2 linked regions of the Drosophila melanogaster genome follow. The protein of the gene in region 2 interacts with the protein of the main gene of each other region in a biochemical or structural test. Each region holds a gene or a part of one and is shown on either strand. Other genes may lie near its edges.

Region 1 (3,793 bases), 5.6 Mb from region 2:
AAAGTGTATGTACTCGTAGCTGCTCGTTTTATTCACCCATTCAGCCCATTGAGTACTTTTGTTTCAATTTTCTTGTATTTATTCAAAAACAATCGCTTGAAGGTTGGATTAAAACTAACACTAAACAATTAGAAAAACATATTTCAGTTCTATTACCTTATAAATTAAAACATAGTCGGGTAGCTTATGAAACTGATTAATTCCGTGAATACTATTCAGTGATTCTGTATGGGTGGCGATGCTGAATGAATTTGGTCGATCAATAAATTAGTTGTAGAAATGATGGGTGCACATAAATACGAATTGGGTGGGTGATTGACTGATTGATTGGTTGATTGACTGTGGCTTGTGCCACGAGTCATAAGTGCTTCTTGGGCTGCAGTGCCCTTAAGTAAACGGCCAATTAGTTTAAATACGTTAACTAGTGCTGCCTGAATCGCTAGGAACAATCATTGCTACTTACAAAGAACCAAAGAAGCGTGATTACAAGCCGATAACTAAAGCTATAATTGAAGAAAACCATAAAGTAGGTGCTATAATTCGAATGCTCTAAATGTGACTGATATTCGAGGATAATAAGTGGGAAAATTAGTGTCTAAGCCGGCATTAGATACGGTTAATTACCTGGACTACGAGCTAGATTGTGCTTAATCTAAATTGTACATAATTGTAAATCGTATGACCTTTTGATCCATCATATTTTTTTTTGATTTTTTTTTTTTTGTATTTTTTCTAAGCATATTTCATTTCTTTTCACGCATCTTCGAAGGCATTTGATCTATCTAACTAACTAGATGAATTTCCGTCGTCAATCCAATAGCCTTTTGTTTTTTATTTGGTGGTAGGATCTTTAGTCTTCCTCATTCTGCAAGGACAAGAAAAATACGTAGGGATTACTTAGGATGAGTTGGTATAACCCGGCGGGTAGGGGAATACTTACAAGTACGGGATACACGAAGGTATCGGCGGTATCCTTTCCGACGACGTTGCGGGCTATGCACTTGTAGTTGCCCATATCCTCCCACTTGATCTCGGAGATCAGAAGATCGCCGTTGGCCAGCACCCTGTGGCGATGTCCTTGGACGATCTCCTTGTTCTCGTTATTCAACCAGGTGATCTCGGCGCGGGGACGGGCGTGCACGCGGCAGGGCAGCTGAATGTTGGAGCCCATGAGGTCCAGATGCGTCTTCTCGGTGTAGATGATTCGCGGTTTCTGGGCACCCGGGTAGGTCTTCTCCGGCGTCAGACGAGAGGAGCGAGGAGGATGCACCACAGTGCTGGCATAGATGGTCTTGGAGCCAGTGCGTCCCACACACGTGTAGGTGCGGGCCTCGCTCAGCACGTGGTCGATGATATGCGACGATCGGACGCGCACAATGGCACTGGGCGCCTCTTCGGCAACCTGGTTGGAGTCCAGATCATCGAGCTCCGAGCGGGGCAGGTGACCCACCACCCACTGGATGCTGGGCACTTGGGAGCCCATCATCTCGCAAACGATCTCGATGGTGGCTCCATCGGCCTGCTGCAGCTTCGTCGGCGGCGTCTTGGTGAACTTGAGCCAGTCGGCTTCGAAGGCTCGGTTGCGTGGCTTCTCCTCCTCCGCCTCGATGGAGTTATCCACGTCGTTGCTATCGTCTACCAGGTCCACGGCTCTTCCGCGGACAGTGGCGATGCTGCCGAACAGCAGCAGCGCTAAGGCGCACACATGTAAATTCATTTTCTGCAAGATCGATAGAGAGAGTGGAAATCGGAAGTGAGTTCAAAGTTCAACAGCGGCACTCGTACGACTCTAATATAGGTTATTAAACCCCAGAGCAACGTGATGCGATTAGCCCGACTTTTCAGCCAGTCATGCATCCCCCCACCACCCCACCACCCCACTTCCCCCACTCATCACCGCCTCCATTAATCAGGGGAGGTCTCCGAGTCTATTTCCCCGATAAGAACGCAAGGCCTTCAGTCGGCGGGCTCTAGAACATTACTAACACTTGCGAAATGTGCTAATGGCTCTCGGAGTCCGGAATTTAGATTCGGAATCCTTTTCCGGCCCCTAAGAGATGTGCTCGGTCCAAACGTAGATGAATGTATTTCACAATGACACGTCACCAGACAACAAGAATTGACAAAAGAAAATGATATAAGATTCTTGCGTGGGCCGAATCAGAGGCAGAAATCGAAAACGGAAAACGGAATGACTCGCGGAGTGTGACGTCAATTTAAATTCGAATTCTACAGCCCGATTCGGATTCACACACTCACCCACGCTTCAGCCGCAGATCAAGGGCCAATGTGTCCCCATAGTCTAGACTGGACAAACTGCGTGACCGATTAATTATTCAAATAGTTTCGAGGGTATTATGTATGTACATACGCTTGTATGTATGAATTAGTAGTAGCCCCACAAAAAGTCATTCGCCAATCGCTGGCGAATGTTGCATCAGACGGTCTTTGCCCTTCGACGGTGATTTTTGTATCTTTGGGCATTTCTACGAATTCGAATTTTGAAAAAAAAAAAACAAACGAAAAACGGAACACGAAACTGCGTTCGGCGGCAATCACCTATCTATTGTTAACGCACATTACTCACCCTTTGATTTGATTTCTTTTTTCTCTTCCGGTAAAAAATGTTTGCAAATTTCTCCCCAACGTTGGACGATGATAGATCAGGTAAAGCAGAAGCAGGTCGGCTTATCGTTATGTTATGAACGAATTTATCAGCTCTATGTTGTGATGGCTCCTGGTCTGGGCTTTCTGGTTGAAGTTGAGCAGCAGCTGGCTTAGCACTGACATAGGTCCGGCGCTGGATGCCGTCTTGGAGGTCGTGCAGCTCAGTGTTGGTGGAATCTTGGCTGCTTGCCGGTCTGTCTTGGGCGACGAGGATGGATCGTATTGAAACGTCTGGGTGCTGTGCTCGGGAGTGGCGCTTCAGGATCGGGATAAGGATCGAGTAATTGGGTAGCGGAAGCGTGTTAATCTCAGGCGGCGTAGCGAATATCTAGCTGACTACTTTGGCACATTCGATCCTCGTGGCGGTATCAGTGCTCCTTCGATGTGGACGTGGACTTGGTCTGGTACTTCTTGATGGTTGTCTGGTTGGCGCGGCACTCGTTTGAATACGCACGGTTCATCGACATTACACTCGAGTCAAGGTGTGTTGGTTTTTGGTTTTTGGGGGGGATTGCTGCTGCGAATGCGGTTCACGGCGAATTGAAAAGCGAGGATCGCGGATCGGCTTAGTTAACTTCGGATCAGTTGGCTTCGGCGGCTCTCAAAAGTCGTGTTCAACAGCTGGAAACTGTAACAGAACTGAATTGGTGGCCGCAGCGCTGTTCCATTTATATGCGACGCCGGCTCACTCACACACACACACAGACAACAGACACACACACACACACTCTCACTCACTCGCCGCTCTCTCTCTGCTCGTTCTCGGATCGTAATTCTTTATGCGACCGCCGCACCGGGAAGGTGCGGAACAAAACAGATATAACCGGACGGGGGGTTCGATTATCCGCCTCGGGATCTGTCTTTCCACCGCCTAATTGCGTCCGCAGTCCAGAGTTGGTGGTTTGGAAACTGAGGTGTCTCACAAGGATAGCTCAATGACTTTCCAGCCCATATACCATTTCATTTCGATCTTGACAATTAACATTGTCATCTTATGCAAGTTGTTGAGAACATACAACAGTGTTCGAGATCCTATGACTTTCTATCACATGTAAGTAAAATTAATTAACCCTACATATAAAGGTGCTTCACACTACTCTGTTAATATTCATGAATCATTTCGACG
Region 2 (3,153 bases):
AGCCTCTTAGCGGCAATGTAACAGGTTGGGCGAACGGGTTATGCTTTGAAGTGGGCGGATTTTTTGGCGGTGATTACACTGAAAACTATGCTCGATAAAGCTGTGTGCATCAATTCACACTTTAGAGCAAGTCCCATAAGGCTAACTCTTCTGAATATCTTAAAAATGTCTTACAAATACATTCCAAACTATTGGTATAGATAGATATAGGTAATGATACAACTGATATTTGCTAAGAAATACAATACAATACCCCAACTACCAAAACAACAGTGCATCGCTTTTCCATCCAAATTGGGGAGTAGAGCTAGAAATAGAGTTTGCATTTTTAGGGGAAAAACGGTACCTGAAACATGGGTGATCAAAGGATTTGCAGTTTGTACGCCCGTGGGGCTTGCTATGCCACTGCAATGCTAGACTGCAGAAGAGGCCATTGAACTGCATTAGCTAGCGCTTCCGATTTAGTGGTATAAATACCAGTTGCAGCCCAGAGCATTCACTGCATATCCAAGATGTTTAGCCAGCACAACGGTGCAGCAGTACATGGCCTTCGGCTCCAGTCGCTGCTCATCGCAGCCATGCTCACCGCTGCAATGGCAATGGTCACGCCGACTGGCAGTGGTCACCAGTTGCTGCCCCCCGGAAACCACAAACTCTGCGGCCCCGCACTGTCCGATGCCATGGATGTGGTGTGTCCCCATGGCTTTAATACGCTGCCAAGGAAACGTGAAAGCTTGCTGGGCAACAGCGACGACGACGAGGACACGGAGCAGGAGGTGCAGGATGATAGCAGCATGTGGCAGACACTGGACGGGGCAGGATACTCTTTTAGTCCACTGCTAACCAATCTGTACGGATCCGAGGTCCTGATCAAGATGCGTCGCCACAGGAGACACCTGACCGGTGGCGTCTACGACGAGTGCTGCGTCAAGACCTGCAGCTACTTGGAGTTAGCCATCTACTGTCTACCGAAATAGGACACTTGGCCAACACACACACATTCATTACCCAGCATGCATACACATACATACATACATACGAACACTTGAACATGGCATTCCCACATACATACTATATGTACACCCGTTCTCCTAACAGCATTCGTAATCCAATTCGTAATCACTTATTTATGCAGCACCAACTTTGACTAATGAATAAAAGTAGACAGTGCAAAAAGAAGAATTTGTGTGAGCGGCAAAGACAAGACAGTCAAAGGAAAAGTACCAAGGAGGCGTAATTCGTTGCCAGGATGCTGCTGGCTCCAATCAGCTGGCTCGGGTTCTTGTTGGCCTACTCCGGCCTGCCGGGCGCCCAGGCGCGGATTGGTAAGTATAGGGTAGAAATGGTAGAGGCAAACGGGCTGTAAAGGCGAGGTAACTTTAAGACCAAGGACTTATTTGGTATTCATAAATGCAGGGCTTAGTACGGCCTGGCTGTTTATACATAAATTGTTTAATTGGCTGACAGCAAAACGCCCACAAAGCCCTTCTTCTCCCAAACACAGCCACCCAAAAACCACCCACAATTTTCCAATAGCCATTTGCATAAGTCAGCTTTGACATTGAATGAGTTTAGCCAGGCGTTAGAGAGAAGAGCCAACTCCGGAATGCACTCATCGCATCCTAACACAATTTGACAACCTGACTTTTGAGGATAACATGTGTGTGGATCCAGACCCCGACCCCGAGAGACCGACCCCGACCCAGACCCAGTTTAAGTTTCTTACGAGGCAGTATATAAGCCAGTTACTTTGGGCCAAACATCATCAGTTAGCTTTCGACCCGGCTCGACCCAACTTAATCCATTTGATCGTAAAGCAACCTAAGCAGTAAACCCATAACCATGAGCAAGCCTTTGTCCTTCATCTCGATGGTGGCCGTGATTTTGCTGGCCAGCTCCACAGTGAAGTTGGCCCAAGGAACGCTCTGCAGTGAAAAGCTCAACGAGGTGCTGAGTATGGTGTGCGAGGAGTATAATCCCGTGATTCCACACAAGCGCGCCATGCGTAAGTTCTTACAAGGATGCAGATCCTCAAGCTGGCTTTGCTAGATCTACATTGTATCCACGATTTTTATTAGCCGGTGCCGACAGCGATCTGGACGCCCTCAATCCCCTGCAGTTTGTCCAGGAGTTCGAGGAGGAGGATAACTCGATATCGGAACCGCTGCGAAGTGCCCTCTTTCCTGGGAGCTATCTTGGGGGTGTACTCAATTCCCTGGCTGAAGTCCGGAGGCGAACTCGCCAACGGCAAGGAATCGTGGAGAGGTGCTGCAAAAAGTCCTGTGATATGAAGGCTCTGCGGGAGTACTGCTCCGTGGTCAGAAATTAGGCCTCCTAATGCGAAAATCATTGACCCCAACTGACCTGGTCGACGCGATTATCTCTGGATCTGGTTCCAAACCAACCATGTGCATATATACTACAATCGATGTTTTTTACAGCTTGTTGCATGTTACTCTTTACGAATGATCGAAATGGATTAAATATATATTCTGCTTTAAGCTTTGGCAAACAATCGCAAATGCTACTTTATATTATTATTAATTTGGGACGTTACATTTATTATTATCATTATATGATATATATGTTGATTATTACACTTGAATAAAAAGCGATATAACACAAGTATTCAGAAATCTAAAATGAATATATCTTTTTTTCTATTAAAACTAAATTTATTGAAAACAAAAAAAATCTTAAAAAAACTTGAAACAATTTAAACCATTCATTCATTTCCAAAACTTGTTTCTGTCTTAATACAGTAGGCAATCCAATTGCAATTCAAAAGTTAGTCGCATGTGGGAAATTTCCAAATTTTAGTTCATAGCTTTTTTCGTACTTCGTTTATCGATGATTATATCATCCGTAAAGAAGTAATTGATCAAATCTTATAATCAAAACATTGACTTACTTTTATGTTGACCTTAAAAGTCGAGTATTTCTAGTCGCGGTTGGCCGATTTTATAGCAATACTCATAATTTAATCGTTCTGTGTAGTTGTAAATTAGAAGATTATTACATTTTGAAAGCTAAAATAAACGGAATCAACTAAATTCATGCAGACCTTAAATAACAATCACGCATTACCAAATGCAAGGCATTAAAAGTGCAAAACGGATAATCTTAGTAAATTAACTAAAATATTAATAAATA

Evidence for each region.
Region 1: the proteins of Ilp2 (region 2) and ImpL2 form a complex in vitro, tested with the Drosophila melanogaster proteins (2 studies listed by BioGRID, with this or other methods).

What each region holds. Positions count from the first base shown.
Region 1 is NT_037436.4:4,223,987-4,227,779, forward strand, and holds ImpL2 (Ecdysone-inducible gene L2), read right to left. Parts: upstream 1,965-3,793; 5' UTR 1,907-1,964; coding exon 1,898-1,906; intron 1,721-1,897; coding exon 941-1,720; intron 866-940; coding exon 851-865; 3' UTR 724-850; downstream 1-723. Other genes in the region: CG46460 (uncharacterized protein), read right to left, coding at 2,695-2,790. UniProt on the Drosophila melanogaster protein: Essential developmental role during embryogenesis, in particular the normal development of the nervous system. May be involved in some aspect of cell adhesion.
Region 2 is NT_037436.4:9,797,922-9,801,074, forward strand, and holds Ilp2 (Insulin-like peptide 2), read left to right. Parts: upstream 1-1,776; 5' UTR 1,777-1,842; coding exon 1,843-2,005; intron 2,006-2,078; coding exon 2,079-2,329; 3' UTR 2,330-2,519; downstream 2,520-3,153. Other genes in the region: Ilp1 (Insulin-like peptide 1), read left to right, coding at 513-977; CG32052 (uncharacterized protein), read left to right, coding at 1,250-1,325. UniProt on the Drosophila melanogaster protein: Possible ligand of InR/insulin-like receptor. Plays a role in regulating body size by increasing cell size and cell number of individual organs.